4 linked regions of the Caenorhabditis elegans genome follow. The protein of the gene in region 4 interacts with the protein of the main gene of each other region in a pairwise test. Each region holds a gene or a part of one and is shown on either strand. Other genes may lie near its edges.

What was found.
Region 1: the proteins of gei-18 (region 4) and ptpn-22 interact in a two-hybrid assay, tested with the Caenorhabditis elegans proteins (one large-scale study listed by BioGRID).
Region 2: the proteins of gei-18 (region 4) and ceh-17 interact in a two-hybrid assay, tested with the Caenorhabditis elegans proteins (one large-scale study listed by BioGRID).
Region 3: the proteins of gei-18 (region 4) and mbk-1 interact in a two-hybrid assay, tested with the Caenorhabditis elegans proteins (one large-scale study listed by BioGRID).

Annotation. Positions count from the first base shown.
Region 1 is NC_003282.8:1,734,871-1,739,804, reverse strand, and holds the start of ptpn-22 (Protein-tyrosine-phosphatase), read left to right. Parts: upstream 1-1,920; 5' UTR 1,921-1,939; coding exon 1,940-1,987; intron 1,988-2,034; coding exon 2,035-2,113; intron 2,114-2,158; coding exon 2,159-2,334; intron 2,335-3,018; coding exon 3,019-3,127; intron 3,128-3,850; coding exon 3,851-3,989; intron 3,990-4,934.
Region 2 is NC_003279.8:4,568,259-4,571,715, forward strand, and holds ceh-17 (Homeobox protein ceh-17), read right to left. Parts: upstream 1,770-3,457; 5' UTR 1,767-1,769; coding exon 1,603-1,766; intron 1,552-1,602; coding exon 1,325-1,551; intron 1,027-1,324; coding exon 704-1,026; 3' UTR 507-703; downstream 1-506. Other genes in the region: idpp-10 (Intrinsically Disordered Protein, expressed in Pharynx), read left to right, coding at 1-54; col-52 (Collagen triple helix repeat protein), read right to left, coding at 2,956-3,051, 3,443-3,457. UniProt on the Caenorhabditis elegans protein: Probable transcription factor involved in postembryonic differentiation of the ALA neuron, and regulation of genes that contribute to behavioral quiescence, a sleep-like behavior mediated by ALA.
Region 3 is NC_003284.9:14,819,409-14,826,436, reverse strand, and holds mbk-1 (Dual specificity tyrosine-phosphorylation-regulated kinase mbk-1), read left to right. Parts: upstream 1-1,896; 5' UTR 1,897-1,902; coding exon 1,903-2,247; intron 2,248-3,414; coding exon 3,415-3,513; intron 3,514-3,564; coding exon 3,565-3,634; intron 3,635-3,703; coding exon 3,704-3,807; intron 3,808-3,854; coding exon 3,855-4,030; intron 4,031-4,084; coding exon 4,085-4,264; intron 4,265-4,311; coding exon 4,312-4,508; intron 4,509-4,569; coding exon 4,570-5,378; intron 5,379-5,458; coding exon 5,459-5,769; intron 5,770-5,963; coding exon 5,964-6,243; intron 6,244-6,334; coding exon 6,335-6,412; 3' UTR 6,413-6,528; downstream 6,529-7,028. UniProt on the Caenorhabditis elegans protein: Possible role in the function of olfactory neurons.
Region 4 is NC_003282.8:13,980,540-13,984,248, reverse strand, and holds gei-18 (GEX Interacting protein), read left to right. Parts: upstream 1-1,723; 5' UTR 1,724-1,725; coding exon 1,726-1,783; intron 1,784-2,019; coding exon 2,020-2,124; intron 2,125-2,185; coding exon 2,186-2,355; intron 2,356-2,412; coding exon 2,413-2,710; intron 2,711-2,772; exon of another isoform or gene 2,773-2,793; intron 2,794-2,834; coding exon 2,835-3,027; intron 3,028-3,071; coding exon 3,072-3,162; 3' UTR 3,163-3,187; downstream 3,188-3,709. Other genes in the region: tor-2 (Torsin), read left to right, coding at 389-449, 644-827, 878-1,565.

The sequences.
Region 1 (4,934 bases), about 12 Mb from region 4:
AATTTTTCGGAAAATTATTCTAATTTTTAAAGTATATTCTCAAGAAATTCCTCTAACTACTAGAAAATCGGAATTTTCCGATCAATCTTCCACACATCTCTCCCTGGCCACCCATTTTCCCACCGTCGCCGCAATCAGATTAGAGCTCACAGCGGAGAGAGCGAGAGTGCACAAAAACACGAGAGACTCAGAGACAAAAAACTGTGTGTAGGGGGCGCTGCGCCGCGGTGACACGAGGAATCGGGGACGCGGCGCGAGAGTGACAGTAAATGTCTATGTGCAAATTAATGTGACGGTGTTTGCGGCGGCGGCGGCGGACGTCATTTTTTTCACCTCTATCTCTCTTCTTTTTCTTCTTTTCACCCAGAAATGTTTATTTATTCAGTTTTTTTTTCAAACTTTTTCAAAAAAAAAAAAAGTTTTTTTTCATCGATTGAGTCACTTTTTAGGCATAAACACCCCAGAAACCAAACCTCGCGGCTCGTGTACTCCCCGAGAAGGTTTTTCGGTTTTTTTTTGCTAAAATTCTTGATTTTGAATTTTTTGTTCAGTTTTTAAGTATATTTTCTGGAAAAATTCAGTTTTTTTACTAATTTTTCCACTAGAAGTACGCGAGTTTGGTTTATTCACGAAAAACGTGACTGCAGCAACAAAAAAAGCACGAACGAATTCCAGGAATCGCTCGCCGCCTCGAGTTTAGTTTTATGAGAGTGGCGAGAGCATTAGAGAGCCTAGTCTTCTGATTTTGTTGTACTTCCGGCTTTCTTTTAGACTTTAATTTCAGGGGATTCCTGCCTCCTTTTCTGCAAAAAAATTGTTGAAATTTTCAACAGTTTCTAGTAAAAAATTTGAAAAAACTTTGTTTTTCACGAAAAAACCTTCCGAAATTCCTCTAAAAACCAATAATTTGAAGCTAAAAATCTCCGAAAAAGACAACAAAAAAATCTTCGATTTTAAAAAATTAAAGGCGCATGGAATTAAATTTACACTTGGGTCCCGAAACGATTATTACAGAATTATTAGAATTTTGCATAAAAATTTCATTTTAATGAACGAAAAACGAATTCTTTGAGAGATTTTTTGAAAAATAAACAAGTTTCCCGCAAATTAATTGGTGAAAATTCTCGATTTCTTATTAAAACTCTAAAAAAACACGGCAAAAATCAAAAACTACAGTAACCTCACTTTAAAGGCGCATACACTGTTCTGGCGGAATATCGGAGCGTCGTTGCCTTCGATTTTTTTTTAATTTTGAAAACAATTTTGCCAAACTTCAAAACTTAACCGCAAAACAAACCCCAAAAATTGACCTTCACATCCCCGGCGCCTAGTTTTCAAATTCGCGCCGCTGCAACGGAGCGCGTTTGCATTTTTCTCCCCCCCCCCCCCATCGCAATTCACACAATGACTCACCCGCGGGCCGCTACTTTTTTATTCAGTTCTGAGCGAATTTCGCAAATTTTCACGCAGAAATTTCGATTTTTAGGCTGAATTTCGCCCAAATTTAGGCCCAAAATCCGTGTTTTGCCGTATAATCCAGACTAAAAACGAATTTTCACTAGAATTTCGCAAATTCATCATAATAACCTAATTTATAGGGATATATCGAATATTTTATGCCTAAAAATATAATTTTAACGCAAAAATTGCTTGTATTATTCGTTATTCGTGTGTTGCCTTGAAAAAACCATTGAGTTCAAATTTGGCCTATTTTTCCCTTTTTCCCGCCTAAAATTAATATTTTCCTTGAATTTAAATTATTTCTTCATTTCTCAGCCGAAAAAATCTAAATTTTGTCTAAATTTCCAAAATAAAGCTGCGATTTTCAGAGAATTTACTGGAAATCCCGGATTTTTACCGATTTTTTCAAATTTTTCACTGAAAAACTTGAATTGCAAGCCAATTTTTCGCGTTTTTCAGGTAACGAAACACACAACGAATGTCAGATGACACATCGGCATCCGTCTGGAACGATGGCGGCCCTCCAGTTCGTTTTTCACCCGATTTCACCCATAAAATTTGGTTTTTTTTCAGGAAATTCAGGAACAAAAGCCAAAAAGCCCACCGCCGCCACTGCCTACATCGAATCCAGTAGTCAAAGATACTCCAAATGGTTCGAAAATAGCGAAAATTTAGGCTAAAAAACACGAATTTTCAGTAGTACCCACCGGCGATCTAATTCAGTTCGAAAGTGAGGAGGAGCGGGCGGCGACGACAGTTCCCAACGGAAATCCTGTGATTTTCGAGAAAAATCCGGCGATGGATGGGCTTTTGCGCGAATTTCTGAAGGAAGAGGAGGCCTACACGCCGCAGGACTATTTGCGCAGATTTTATGTACGGATTTTGGTCGAATTTAGGGAATATCCAGCGAAATTCTACGATTTTCGACGATAATTAGCCAAAGTTTGGTCGAATTTTAGCGATTTTCGAGCCAAATTCTGTCAATTTTCGGTCGAAACTTTTTTCAAAACGAAAATCACAGATTTTTGACACTTTTCGCCAAAATTTGGTCATTTTCACTGGTTTCCACACAATTTTTCTCCGATTTTTGACGAGTTTCTCAACAAAAAAACTATTTATAGCGAATACTGCCAAAATTCTGGAAATTTTTCGCAGATTTCGATTTATTCATGACTTTTTCCCTAGAAATATAGCCAATTTCGAGAATTTCCGGCAATTTTTGTCTAATTTTAACGATTTTCCTCATTTTTTTCCGTTAAATTATGGCAATTTTCTACTTTTTTTGCCGAGAATAGACAGTTTTGTTAATTTTTATAGGTTTTCAAGCATTTTTAGCGAATTTCTCGAATATTTAACCTCATTTTAATGGAATTTTGACAGTTTCGACGAATTCTGTCGATTTTTTGCACTTTTTCGCCAAATTTTGCACCATTTTCAACGACTTAAATAGATTTTAAGCAATTTTCACTTGATTTTTGGTGATTTTAGGGTCGATTTCAGCCAGTTTTCCCCCATTTTCCACCTGATAAAAACCCACAAAAATCGATTTTTTTTCAGCAAATCCGAGTGGAACAGGAAAAACTGCGAATGGAAGCCGAATATCGGTCAGAGTGTGCCGTCGCACCGCAACATTATGCTCGAAATCGATATCGCGACATTTTGCCGTGTAAATTTTTGATTTTCATCGAATTTTTCGCCAAAAAGTGTGGTATAGCGTCATTTTCAAGCAGGAAAAGCGAGAATTTTGACACTTTTTTTTTGGGAAAAATCGCATAAAACTGTGTGTTTTTTTAAAAAAAAGGATTAAAGGACGATCCGTTCTTCAAGTGCTTTGCACTGCGGATCTGGGATTCAGGTACATTGCCTGGTGGTGATCCCTCTGGGCTGTAATTTAAGCCACGTCTTAGCCGGGGACTGTGGCCGATAATCCAGTCGTGGATTGCTCCACTTCCCAATAGAGGCTGGGTGAACCTAGGGGTGAGGCCGGACTTGAACTCGTGACCTCCAGACTGCTAGCGGCCACCACTACCGACTGAGCTATCTGCCTCCCATTTCAGAAAAATCGAGAATTTCTTTAAATTTGACCAAAAAAAAATATTTCAGATTGCAAAAATATTCAAAATTCACGAAATTTGAAGCCTTCTGGCCATTTTTAGCAAAAAATCCGCAATTTTTTTCTGAAAAAATTTTTTAATGCAATTAAATACGTTTTTATTGACGTTTTCACTGATTTTTTTTTTGTTTAATAAAAAAATTGACCAAATTTGATGAAATTTCTCAAAAATTTTCGAATTTTGACGACGCTATACCCATTTTAATTAACTCTAAAATTTGAAATAAAAAAAATCCGTTTTTTTCCAATTTTTAAGCACAAATTTCGCCATTTCAGATGACAAAAATCGTGTGGAAATCCAAAAAGACAGTGAAAACCCCGAAGGATATATGAACGCTTCACTAATTCAATTGCCTGGTGGAAAAACTGAATTTATTGCGGCACAGGCTCCGCTACCGGCTACACTCGACGAATGGTATAGGCTTATGGAGCTCAAAAATGAGCATTTTTAGCTTGAAAATGCAGGATTTTGTGTAAAAAAATTAGTTTTTCATGTTAGCTCCGAAGCAGCAAACATTTCTGACAAAAAAGGACAATATCAAGCCAGAAATTGAAATTTTTAATAGAAAACTCCAAAAACCTCCGAGCATTTTTTAATTATTTAAATGAAATTTTGAAGATTTTATCTTCAAAATCGAACAAAATGAAACTTTAAAATAAATTATTTTTCAGAAATTTTTAGGATTTCTTGAGAATTGAAAAAAAAACAAGGAAATGATGAATTTCAAGTGAAAGTTGCAATTTTTCAGTTAAAAATAAATTGAAAATAAAAAATGAAAAACGAAAAATTTCAGTTTTTCCGTTGAAAAATCTACATTTCAAGTAAAAAGCAGCCTCCGAAACTTCCACATTGAATTTTTTTTATTAAAAAAAAATTAAAAAACGAATAAAAAGTTCCCCTAAAATTTCTTAAATTCACTATTTTGCTACTTTTTCGATTAAAAAAACACTTTTTTCTGTAAGAAAAACTCTGAAATTGATGGATTTTATTACGGGAACACATAATTCTTAGAATGCGTATTGCACAACATATTTGACGCGCAAAATATCTCGTCGCGAAAACTACAGTAATTCTTTAAATGACTACTGTAGCGCTGTTGTGTCGATTTACGAGCTCGTTTTTTTAAGCAAAACATGAGAGAATAATACGAAAAAAAAAAGGAAAATCGCTGTCACTATTCGAAAAATAAATTCATTTTGAAAATCGAGCCCGTAAATCGACACCAACGCTACAGTAGTCATATAAAGAATTACTGTAGTTTTCGCTACGAGATATTTTGCGCGTCAAATATGTTGTGCAATACGCATTCTCAGGATTATGTGTTCCGGTAATAAAATCCATCAATTTCAGAATTTTTCT
Region 2 (3,457 bases), on a different chromosome or scaffold from region 4:
CGAGGAAAACGAGGTCCGGATACGGAAAAGGAAAAGAAAAACGAGAAGATTTGAGGCGTTTACTTATTTTTCGATTATTTATTTTAATGTTATTTACGCAAGTATTATTTCAAATTAATAATATATGTATATTTAAATTATTTCCTAATAGATGTGCTCCAGAGGTGTGCGGAACTTTTTTGCCGATGGTTTTTTGGAATTATATACAGAGTTATAGAGAAACATTCGTACTTTTTGAAAATAATGATAATTTCAGTTGAAAAGTTTAAGAAGTTGCTCAAAAACATACTTAATGGGCCGGTCGGCATAAATAGGTTGCGGCTTTGAGACAGTTTTTGGGAATTTTTTCAAAACTTTCAATTAAAGTTAGCATTATTTTCAAAACGCACAAATATTATTTCATATTTCTATATAAATTTCCAAATAAAAATTCAACACAACAATCAGAAAAAGGAAGTTTCGTAAAAGTGCCGTAAAAATGGGTGTTACTAGTTTCAAGATTTTGAGAACTTATATTTATTCCTGAAAAAAACAATAAATTGAAAAAGTGAGAAGCAATGGGATTCTGGACAAAAAACTGACATAGAGACACATTCAGCACGGTTTTTTACTTTTATACAATTTTAAGTGAGCACTACTTTTGAATAATTACAAAAAGGAAGAGATAAATAGAGATCACAAGCAATTATTTTACATTTTTTGTTCAAATTTGATCAATAATCTCTTCTAAACTAATTTGCCCGGGTTCCTTCTTCAACGGATCCTCTTCCTCGTCCTTAACTCTTCTGATCTTCTCCTGTTTTCGATACTTCGCCCGCCGATTCTGAAACCACACTTGAACTCGGGCTTCAGTTAAATCAATTCTCATTGCAATTTCTTCTCGTGTATAAATATCTGGATAATGAGTTTCACAGAATGATCTTTCCAACTCCTTCAGTTGTCCTGATGTGAATGTGGTACGGATTCGGCGTTGTTTTCGACGCTCGGCAGGGTTCAAAGGAGCTCCACCGGTTGAGCAGAGAGCACCTGGAAAAGTTTTTTTTTCGAATTAGTCTTGGACCCCCTTTACTCCACTTTGACAACCTTTTTCTCGGTTATCTTTGTTTCATCAAAAGGTTTTTTAAAGTAAAATATATGTTTCCATATTTTCATACTTGATAATAAGAAAAAAAGAAATTAAGCACAAAAATTGTGAAATTATGTTTTCCAGCAGCCGCCATCTCCGCGTTTTGCACACAATTTATATGCAATCTAGATATAGGCTGTCAAAGTAGAACAGCCGGTCAAGACTAATTGGAGCCTATACCCCGATTTTTTCACTCACCAACAAGAGAACTTCTTGGCAGTCCGTTCAAAACATTGCTACTTGTCCTCTGAATCGTATCACTTCCAATTAATTGTGATTTTTGATACAACTGATATTGTAGACCAGTATTAAAAAAAGCTTGTAGTGAATCGTGTGTTGTATTACGGTAGTTTGATGAGGAAGATGATGAAGATGTGGAATTGCCCGCTGAAGAGCTTGAAGTATTGTGAGCAGTTGTCAAGGCACTGAAAAAAGTGGCTTAGTATAACAGGGAGAAAACTGGAAAAAAATCTCACCGTCCACTTTGTAGATACGGAGTTGCATATTGGTGATAAATATTATGTGACTGTGGTGTATAGAAAAATGAATTTGTAACTGCAGATGGTGCAGTTGTTGGAACATCGCCTGATTGTTGAGCCACGGCGCTACTTGAAAAATAGCCACCGTATTCCATCATCATCGCCTGGAACAGATTGATAAATTCAGAAGTGTTAAACAAGAAGTTATATTAATAGAGGGAAAGGAAATAATTATTCGGTATATCACAAGTTGTGCTGAAGCAGCCGACACTTTACAGGTATTTGAGTAGAGTCAGAGTTAAGGTTAATCCTCTATGCTCTATGCTCAAATTCATAAGTTATTCTCTTCGATTAAATATAACATTAAAACAGAATATATTGCTCGTGTGCAATTTTTTCTTAATTTCATTGATTCGGTTTGAAATTTATCTGAATTCATCGAAAATTTATTTAAAATCTTCAAATTTTATAACGGCACCGGAAAAATTGGTTAACGACACAAAATTGACAATAAAACGGGATTATCCAAAACAGATCCGGCAAGACTCGAGGGCGGGGTTGGAGCTCCAGAAGTGAGCCACAAAGTGGGAGGAGCTAGGGGGTACTGTAGGAAGGATTCTCGACAGCGTTTTTTTTGCAAAAAAATGTGCAAGCTTTTTTAAAATTTAAGCAATTTTAATTTTGTTCAAAGTCTTTTTTTTTCAATTTTCCAAAAGCGAACTTCTGTAGTTTAAAAAAAAAATTGAAAAATTTTAGTTTATAATTTTCTCACTTTCTGAACTTAATAATATGCTTAATTTCAAATTCCCCTGGTTGCCAGAATTTTAAAAATAATTGCGGTTCTTAAATCTAGCTTTTTTCAAAAATATAAAATCTGGCAAAATTCTCGCGGGTACGATAGCTGAAATATTTTGCCCGTAGCAGGACCTAGGTAGCTGCCAGTCTTTATTAAAAATCAGGTATTATTGCCAGCTAGGCCTCATGTCTGCCTGCCTGTCGCCTAGTTTTTGAATTTTGGCGTTAATTCTGGTGTTCTACCTACTTCTTTTTTCATTGCAATCAATTTTCGATGTAAAACAGCAGGCATGCGTAGGTCTCCTTGCAGGCATGTTTGTGCAATTTCAATTCACTTCTTTTCTCACTAAATCCTACCAAAAACTCTGCGTCATATTGTATCCAACTGGTATTAGAGCGCACTTGACATCTCATTTCCTAAGTGTTTTCGCGTGGGGAGGGGAGGGGGATCCACCCTCCTCCCTCCCAAATGTATACGGTAAATTAGGGTCTAGTTTACACGCAATCACATCAAATTGAAGCCACACAACAGATGATGTCAAATTGTTTATTTGATTAAGCTGACAACAAATTGTAAAATGGATTTCGTCGCGACATTGGCGGACACTCGCAGTAGTTTCCATCTCGTCCGGGACGGCCCGTGTGTCCTGGCTGAAAATTTGAAAAAAATGTATCGGCTGAAAATTGCTGGGCCTGCCTTAAATGTGCCAAACTTTTGAGTAAAATTTTCACTAAAATTTTTGTGTGCTTTAGCTAGGTACAAGACAAGAATAAGTTACACTTAAAGGTGAAACATTTAGTATGTCTTTGCTCAACTTTGGCAGCCTATGCCTTCAGTTTTAGCCGAAAATTGTCAACTGACAAAATAATTGTACTTTCTAGAGGTTTTCCAGAAAGAAAATGGTTTTCTCTATTATTTTGTTAATTGATTTTTTAAAAGAATATAACAATTTTCCTTCAAAATTTTCCGTTTTTTAGAGAATTTTTAAAAAATTTTTGTGAATATTTATATCACAAAATAATTTACTAATTTTTCACTTACATGCCCAGTTGCCCC
Region 3 (7,028 bases), on a different chromosome or scaffold from region 4:
GGACGTCTAACTTTTACTCAGAGTGCTTGGAGCTAATTCATGCGAATTTTTGGAAGTTTCTGTTTAAAAGCTGGTGATTATGAATGTATTGTTTAAATGGATACCATAACCCTAAAAATTATGTAATACACTTAAACAACCGCATAAAAATTCAAATGTCTGAAACGTATAAAAAATATAAGCAAACAATTCTTATTATAAAAAAGTTGAAAGATCAAAGCGATAAACAAGTATCTTTTTGAAACCAAACATCACAAATTTCTGAATAGCTTTTGATTTTTTTTTTCGTTTTTTGTTGTATCAAGTATGTATCAAGGTATCAAGAGCACGGATTTCTTATGAACTTTAAATTTACAAATGCACTTTCAGTATGGCAGGAGTCCACCAACGGCAGCTGTCAGTAGATTTTTCTTGAGGAACTTCAATCGAATCTCCTATGATATTTTATAGTTTTTTTTTGAGTTTGGAAAGGTTTATTTCTCATGTTTTATATGTTTGAAATGGTTTCATAGAAGACTCAAAATAAAACATTTTATTTTCTGCAAGTGTTTTGTATTGTGTTAGACGTGTTTATACAATTTTGTACTTTAATATAAGTTTACTTAGTTTTTGAGGATACATATTTTAAAACGCAGCTAATTTTTAGAGTTAGAATATTTTATAGACAAACTCAAAGATTTTTTTAAAATGTTTTCAAAATACTATGTTGCTTGGCCACCTGTAATTTTATTATTTGGAAAAAAATATCCCGAGATCGGGCCAGAAAAAACGACAATAAACTGATGCTTATACACCGTAAACACGTGGTGCCAGAGTGTCTCATTTCGGTTCGATCTACGTAGATCTACAAAAAATTCGGGAGTTGAGACGCAGACTTCTCAACTGATTTCGCATGGTTAAGAACGTGCTGACGTCACATTTTTTTGAGCAAAAAATTCCCGCATTTTTTGTAGAACAAACCGTAGTGGGACAGCCTGGCATCACGTGCGTAAAGCGTAAGTTTTATTCAAGTTTTCCCATATAAATAAGTTCTTTCCCAGAGGTAGAATTCGAACATTACTTTTTTTAATGATTTCCACTTCTCAAACTATATGCGTGTTACCATGTGAAATGTTAATTCAAGATTTGTTAAAGGTTTCAGAATAAATTTTCAAAATTACAGCAAAACCCTCAATTATCTCGAAGTGCATTGAAATCTCAACAAAAAGTTCAATTTACGGGGTTCGAAACGCAAATCTTCTTGATTTCTCATGTTAAGTTTTCATTTTTATAAAATAGTTTTTTTTTCAAACCACAATCCTTAAGTTGTGGTCTTATTATCAAATATCACGTGTTATACTTTTTCAATACACCCCTTTTTAAATACATAATCCACCTGGAACTTTTTTTTCTGTAAAATGTAACTCTTTGTGGCAGATGGCGCACCTGCTCGAACCATTTCCAGCTGCAGAACTTTTTGTGTCTTTGTATCGTTCCACCGTTCGTCCCCACTCCGTTCGTCCCCGTTAACCCATGTTCCCCACTCTCTCATCAGTTGTTGAGAGCGCTGCGTGTCGCGTTGCGTGTCCTCGACTCTCTCCGCTCACCACACTCTTTCGAGCCCTCTCATTCACATGTGATCTCTCCTCCGTGTTTCTCTTTGCCTCTCCAATGAATTTTTATCGTTTCATAAATAATTGTAGTGGAACTACTTGTTTTTTTCTTGTAAAATTTAATTTTTTTTTCAAATATTTCAAATATTGCAATTTTCCGTGAATTTTAATCTTTTTCTTGTTATATTCTCTTTTGAATATTAAATTTTTATGTTTTTTTTTTTGATTTACTCTATTCTGCTCGTTCTCTTGAAAATTGTCATAATTAGTTTGAAGATTTTAACAAATTTTCAAAAAATTTCAGGAAAACATGAACACAGCAGACGTGCCTGACAATCTTCAATCATGGGGCCAACAACCATCATCAAGTTACTCAAATACCCAGCAACACTCACAAATGACTAATCTTCCGCCTATCAATCACAATAATCTTTGCGACACCGAACCGATGAACGAGGACTTTCAACTTCAAGACGTGCAAGCTGACGAACTTCAGAAGCAGCAAAAACAGCAAGAGCAGCAACACATTCAACAGCAAAATGCACAACGTTTCATTGCACAAAGCCGTCAACCACATTCCAACATTCTGAGATTCCCACAGCCACCAATCACTTCAATTAAGACGAATTCACACGCTTTCTATCCACAGCAAGAGGTTTGTAGAACGTTTTTTTTTTTGTGTTTGAAAAAATCACATCATTCTAAAATGGAATATTTAAACGCTGCTCACCCCCACATTGCTGTAAATAATTTTCATTTTGAAAAATAACAGATAAATTTCAAATTTGCAAAAATAAACTAATTATAAAATATGATGATATTTGGAAAATATTTCATTTTAATTTCTAAATCTAAAATCTATTTTTGAAAAATAAAGCTTTATGAGCCGTTGCCATTGTTACGTTGATAAAACCGTGATTCAAAAGAATCTGATTTTGAAAAAAAATAACGATTGACTGATTTTTTGTGATTAATAGAAAATTGCCGTTTTCCTGGAAAAAAATGGAAAAAAAATTGGATTCTGAAGATTTTTCGTATCATTTTTGTATCAAAATATGAACTTTTGTATTTGCAAGCTTTCAATGTTATTTTACAGTTTTAATAGTATCATCAACGTTAAGATTTAAATTTGTTTGGCAACAAATCCCATGAGTAGTAGAATTGTTTATTTTAAAGTTTCAAAATCAACTACTTTTACATTTAAAATTAACCTGTTAACTGAAGCCTACTAATTGAACATTACCAAAATTTTTGATTTTTTTTCTCAATTTGAATGGTAGTAATTTATCAAGATTTTAGGTGTTCTGCTATTAATTTTTTTAGTATTTTAGTATTTAACTAATTGCTTATTAGTTCAAAAAACAAAAAAAAAACTAGTTTAATCTGTTCAAATTTCTTATCAGTTACCGACGTGCTTCACATAGTTGCAGCAATCAATTCTAGGTTTTCACATAATTTCCTTCATCGGGTGTTCTTATGCAACAGGGCAGTAATCACTGAAGGGCGAAAGTCGAGCTTTACACTATTCCGTTCTTTTCCCTCTTCTCTCCCATCATTTCCTCTCCCCCTATCTCTTTTCTTTTCTACACACTCAACAAGAAATCAGCATTTGCGTTTGCATTGCGGTGCGGACGTTTTGTCTCTCCTGTTGTTATACTACCGCTCTGCACATTCGTGGCCATGCCCAACCTCAACAACTTTTTCAGTCTCCGAAATGATCACTTTGTCCTTTGATAGTTTTTGCCCCCGCTCCAAATTCTGCAAGCGCTTTTTCAGACTGATCCTAGAGTACCTTCTAATGTTGCAATCTTACAAGTTTCAGGTCACCCAAGTCCGGCCAAAGAAGCATCGCGTATCCATGACTAATGCAGAAGCGGCACTAACTCCCGGAATGCCTCCGGAAAAACAAGCCGCAAAGAAGGTACAGCCTAGATGATTCAACTTCTTGACACATATGTCTCAAAAGTTTCAGAGAAATATTGGCCAGTTCTCGACAGATACTGTTCCGGCTGGAATTGGAATGATTGGTATCCCGTTTGAATGTAAGTTTGGCTAGCTTTTGTGAAAATATTATAAGAATAAAAAATAAAAATAAATTGTACACATTCCAGCTACCTCAAAGCCACTCCAAATTCAACAATTCCGAAATCCTCAAGACGCGCCAGTCAGAAAACTAACCAGTGATCTCATCAAAACTTACAAGGCTATCAATGAGGTAGGCGAAGATGGAAGAGAGTCTTAATACCGCTATAAAAGTTTCAGTCTTTCTACCTACGGAAACAGGTTCGACGTGATCGTCACAAGAGTCAAGATGCCGGAAAGCCAAAGGGATCCAAGGATGGTTCCGGGGCGAGCCTGACTGACACATTCTCCATTCACAATGCGATTCCAATTACGAGTTCTGATAATCATTATCAGCAAGATGCTCATCAAAATGCGTATGTTGTTTTCGTGTGATATTTGAAGAGTTCACTTTTTTTTTTGACTTTCAGTCCTCCTCTACTTGACACTAATGCTCCGCCCACCTCAACAATGGTTGTTCCTATGCGCACAGAGACTGATCTTCAACAGCAGCAGCGACAGAAAAGTAGTCGTGGCGGTCCGTACAATAACGGGTATGACGATCAGAATTACGACTATATTCTTAAAAATGGAGAGATATTTGACAAGAGGTATGCTGAAAGCACGAAACTTATTTGACTAACAGCCTATTTTTCAGATACGTGATTCTCAGTGACACGCCGGTTGGCAAAGGATCTTTCGGGCAAGTTACAAAAGCTTACGACACGCTGAATAAAGAAGAAGTCGCTATTAAAATTATCAAGAATAAGAAGACTTTCTTCGATCAAGCTCAGATTGAGATTCATCTTTTAGAATTGACAAATGCACATGACAAGGATAATAAGTATAATATTGGTAAGTTGCATGACATATTAACATATTCAATGTTGATAGAATCAACTTTTCAAATTTTCAGTTACGCTCAAAGGGCACTTTGTGCATCGGGCTCATCTTTGCTTGGTATTCGAGCTTCTCTCCTACAACCTCTATGATCTTTTGAAGAACACCAGTTTCCGTGGCGTTTCGTTGAATTTGGCACGCAAATTTGCCCAGCAATTAGGAAAAACTCTTCTCTTCCTGTCATCTCCAGAATTATCGATTATCCATTGTGATTTGAAGCCGGAAAATGTGCTACTAGTTAACGCGAAGCGGTCTCAAATTCGTGTGATAGATTTTGGATCTTCTTGTCAGACTGGACACCGAATCTACCAGTACATTCAGTCGAGATTCTATCGTTCGCCGGAAGTGCTGCTCGGCATCGCGTACGACACGAAAATTGATATGTGGTCCCTGGGATGCATTCTCGTCGAAATGCACACCGGAGAGCCGCTGTTTGCCGGGTCATCGGAGGTTGACCAAATGATGAAAATTGTGGAAGTTCTTGGTATGCCACCAAAAGAGATGTTAGACATTGGCCCGAAAACACACAAGTATTTTGACAAAACTGAGGATGGGATCTACTATTGTAAGAAGACTCGTGACGGATACCGCCATACCTACAAAGCTCCTGGAGCCAGGAAACTTCACGAAATTCTGGGTGTGACTTCTGGCGGGCCCGGAGGTCGCCGGCTTGGAGAGCCAGGACATTCTGTTGAAGATTACAGCAAATTCAAAGACTTAATAAAGAGAATGTTGCAATTTGACCCCAAACAAAGAATTTCGCCCTATTATGTGGTTCGGCATCCGTTCTTGAAGCAGAAGGAAGAGCGAGTTCCATCTCAACCGGTGTGTTTTTTTTAATTTAATTTTTAATTTTTATTAAAATTTAAATTTTTTAAATTTTCTTTCAATATTTAATTTTTTAGCCGGTGTCTCACTCGAACCTTCAGCAACAACAGCAATTGTACATACAGCAGCCGTCAAGCCAAATGAGTCAAGTGATGGAATCTCCGTCGGTTGGATCAGTCTATGTGGAAGATAACGGGATGTATCGCCAGGCGCCTGGATCTTCTGCCAACCCAATTTCCGTCACATCATCGTTTGACGAAGGAGATGCCATGGAAGTTGATGCTGGGAGAAGACGCTTCTCTGCTCATCAGCAAAATTACCACAATCCAAACTATCAGTACTCTCAACCACAACAGCAACAGCAGCAGCAGTATCAGCAGACACAGCGGTAAGTACAAGTACAAAGTTTGGTCTCGTGTGAACCTTATGAGATTTTGGACTTTTTGGACAGCTGCTCCTATGACACAAACTCAGAGAAAATAATTGCGTCATCAGGAGACTACCAAAAATTTTGTGGTGTTCGAAATAGACAAGAAATTTTAAAACTAAAGAGAGAAAAATTATATATGTAGAAATTTCTAGAACGCAACTGGAGCAGCAGCAGAAACAGGCTCAACTCCAACAGCAGCTCCAGCAACAGCAAATGCAGCAACAGCAGCAACAGCAACAACAACGCCAGCACATGCCACAAGCGCAGAGCAGTTCCCAACAGCACCTCCAATCACGGGCGCGGCCACGACAACAGGATCAGAACGAGTGGAGGAATCAGTTTGAGCTGGATGACACGTTTCAGCAGAAGCAGCGAAAAGTTGATGACTCTGTATCGAATCAGATTTCTAGAAATCAATTCAATCCACAACAGGTGAGATTTTTTTTTGCAATAAAAAAAATGCGCTGCTGCACCCCCCACCCATCATTCAGAAAATGCCAATTATTGAAAATAAATATTTTAGGTATCGATGACGCATGGAAATGTAAATGCTAACAACCGAGAGATGGAGAAACTCGATTACCCGAACAACAAACTCTGAAGCACACAGAGTCTAATAGCTAATTTTTTTGGAAATTCTGTCAATTTGATGTAATGCTTGTTATTTTTTTTTGTTTCTGTGAACAATATGGAGTTAATAAACACTGGTTCAACTTTAGCATTTTTTTATTACTACTGTTGTATTTTCAATTATAAGTTCTCAATTTATCAATTTAAGAGGGTTTTTTTTTTGGAAGTTTTAATTAAAAATATTGGAAACATTTAAAACAAGCATGAATGACGTGTCAACAGAAAAAAAAACCTGTTCAGATATTTCGTAACTTCTCTATTTGCCAATGAGCTATCCTCAACCCAAGCAGCAGCGGGGCATTCGTCACCGACTGCAAAAAAGTACTACATACTAGAAGTTTTTCGTTCAGAATTTTCTTGCAATTTCTGCCATTTCCCCCACCGCCCGTTTGCCACCAATGTCCATCCATCCATTTCGCAACGCGACCAGGAAGATATTATAAATCTTCGACGCCTTTAGCCAATCCCCCCCCCCCCCGTCATCTCCACAGGAAAACCTGTTTTTGTTCTTCTCAAGTTCCATTCGTTTCTCTGTATTCTCTTCATTTTTCGTCCAATTTCATATAACACACCCTTTCCATCCATGT
Region 4 (3,709 bases):
ATTAAGCTTGAACTGTAGTAACTGCTCAAAATAAAATTGAATTGGTACAAAAATGTTTTTGAATAAAATCAGCCCTTTTGAAATGAAAAAGTTCGCTGAAAAATGGTTTCTATTGAAATTTAAATTCTATGTTCAATGTTTCTTTATCTTCAAATTTCGTTATCAGTGCATCAATCTATTTTTCGGTGTGATTTCTCATGGATATTTTGATGTTAGCAAGAATACGCAGATAACAAGCGACATCTTCTGTTCCATTTCATTTTCCTTTACTTCTCACTTGTCAAATATTTTGTTTTATTCTGAAAGAAAGATGCAATTTTTTAAATATATTATTTTCGTTATCATTCTTAATCAATTAGTCGTCGATGTCCACAGCTTATCAATGCCAATGTTTTTAAAATGTTTATTTTACACTTGCTGCGGTGAAACGGATATATTCAATTATCATGGTGAGTAGCAATATTTTAAGAAATTCAGTCAAAATTCAGAACACCATGCAAATTGTTTCTAATGTAAAACACAGCTATATACAAATTTTGAGTTGTGCTCCGTGATAAGGAGCATTTTTCGCACTTTTTTTTTTGATACTTTTGAAAGAAAAACCGTTTATTTTTTAAATATTTTTCTAAACTTTACATTTCAGCGTTATACAAAGATTTCGATAATAAAATTTTCGGGCAGCACTTGATGGCAGAATCTGTAGTTCATTCAATCAAATCTCATTGGCACAATGAGCATTCTCAGAAGCCGCTAGTTCTCTCATTTCACGGCGGAACCGGCACTGGAAAGAATTATGTGACTGAAATTATTGTGAACAATACTTATCGGTAACTTTTCATTGCTTAAAATTTTTTTGAGAAACAAGTTTATGTTTTAGAAGTGGAATGCACAGCCCATTTGTGAATTATTTCGTTGCAACAAATAATTTTCCGAATAAAAAGTATATTGAGGATTATAAATTGGAACTGAAAGATCAACTTATAAGATCGGCCCGAAGATGTCAGCGATCTATTTTTATATTTGATGAGACGGATAAGCTACAAAGTGAATTGATTCAAGTGATCAAACCATTTCTTGATTATTATCCGGCGGTCTTTGGAGTGGACTTTCGGAAAACTATCTTCATTTTTCTAAGCAACAAAGGGAGCAAAGAAATTGCTAATATCGCATTAGAACATCATGAAAATGGTAAAATAAGATCACAACTCGAGTTGAAGCATTTTGAACGAACACTGATGCTTTCTGCATTCAATGAAGAAGGTGGTCTTCGTAACACTGATATGATCTCTAATCAACTTATTGATCATTTTATACCATTTCTTCCCTTATCTAAGTTCTACGTTTCCCAGTGCATTCAAGTACATCTTCGAAAACGCGGAAGACATGATTTGGCAAAGGATGGAGAATTCATGCAAAGAGTTCTTGATTCTCTTGAATTTTTCCCTGAATCTAGCAAAATATTTTCCTCGTCAGGATGTAAACGTGTGAATGCAAAGACTGATCTCGAAATTTCCAAGATGGGATTCTCACTCAATTCGAAGAAAGAGTTTAATGATGAGTTGTGAAAGTATTTTCTCCTGTTTCAAGATGTTGATAAATTTGTGTTCAATATTTTTTATGGTTCGGTGTTCTCTAAGGCTTTAAGTGGTTTGAAGTTCCAAATACTTATTAATTTGTTAATTTATGCATGTTTTTCTTTTTTTTAAATATCATTATCATCCTCAGATGACTCCGCGGAAAAATAGTGGAACGATGGGAATGGAATTCAACAAGAAAACTCAGTGTGAGTTTTTAAAGTTTGTAGAACGCCAAAAAATTTTGTTTTCTTTAATTTTTTAGGCAAATTTAGAATAAATTAAAAAATTGTAAACTTATGCAAAATTAGATTCTAAAATAGGTAGCAATATGTACACAAAAAAGATAGCAAAAAACGTAACGCCTGCTGTAGGTAAGGCCTATCTAAAAATCTACCTACAATGTAATCCGTAGTTTTCTATTCAGAAATGTAACGATTTCCAGATTATTCGCAATGCCAATTCTGCACTTTGAAAATTTGGTCAAACACGGAAATTGTTCTTGCTGGTGGAAATGTAATTTGCAATTTGTGCATTGCCGAAAAAAGCCGTGAGTTTTTTCCCCTAAAAGTCCAGAAATGTAACTATTAACAATATACATGCTACTTCAGATGCCGTTCAATTCGACAGAAAATATATGATCAAAACATTATCAAAGACATTTTCAAGAAAGTGGGAAATCTCGAATAATTTAATAATGACACTGCTGATTCTTTTGCTCTCTGCACTTTTTTTTATATCTCAAGGAACTTTTTCAATGCTTCAAAATGAACCAAACCAGGTTTGATTTTTCCACATAACTTTGTTCCTTTCGACAAATAAATTTGCTTATTTACAGGATCGAAACCCCTACCAAAACTACATAGAATCAGTAAGATCCTTTGTCAATTCGGATTTCTCAGATATTTCAAAAGAAAATCGGAATCTTTTGAGATTAATTGGTGAACAAATGTTTTTACATCCAGATGAACATGCTCCGCTTGTCATAGTTATTGCTGGTTTGAAAGCTAATGAGTTTTCTGAAAAATTAAACAAGGCAATTCAAAATTCTAAATCAGAGACAAATTCAAATAATTTACCAATTGAAATTGGAAATCAACTTGAAAGAGGAGAGCTACATGCAATATTGAACAATGGTTAGTTTTTTTTTAACTGTTTCACCAAGTTCATTAATTTTGGGCATTTTTGACACTTACGTTATATAGTTGTAAATGTATTTTTCCGAAAATCTCTTGAAATTTATTTCACTTACCACTTTAGCTCTCGCATCACAAATGACACCTAGAACAGCAGTCCTGACAAATATTGATCTTCTTGCATGGGATGCAGTTTTAGTGCTCCATGCCTTTGCGGACCATGGAACTTTTCCCATCCCAAAAACTGTACTCCTCCTAGCAGTATCAACAGAAGAAACTACTTATTCTGGGAATAGTTGTGATGGGAAAATTTTGAAGTAAGTGATTTTTATTTTTAAAATAAAAAGCAATTAAATTCCAGGCTTGTAACGAACCGCTGGATCGAAAATGGAGGAAACTATGACAATATTCCACCAATTGTAGCCAGGATTTCATATTTTATGTGCTTATAATAAAAATTATTTGTTTAAAAATTTAGTTTTTGTTTACTTGGAAATTGTGAAAAAATATGGAATTTTTAAACTTGGTTACTGCAATTTTGTTCACCGGGAAAAATTACTGTTTCAAAAGATTTGTTTAATTGAAAATCCTCATGTTTATTTGGTTCCTTTATATTAAAATTTTGATTAGAAAAATATTATTCACGAGAAAACAAAACAAGTTTTTAAGTGTTTCTGTGAAAATTTAGGGCAGATCAAGTGTAGATCACACAAAATTTTAGGGAAAATCTATAGAAATGCACATTTAAATGTGAAATTAGAAGAAGATATAATATGATCTACGTGTGATCTACTCAAATTTTTCTCAGAAACGCTCAAAACCAAAGGCTGACCGCGCGACAAAACGATTTTGAAAAAAAGTCCTCTTCGAACTCAGAGAATTTAAAATTTAAACTATATTTTGTAAACAAAAACAATTCTTTTTCCTGTTTGTTTTTTTCATCATAACTTTTTATCAGTTTTTCCGTTTATCAATTTAGGGTTCAGTTTACGAAAAAAA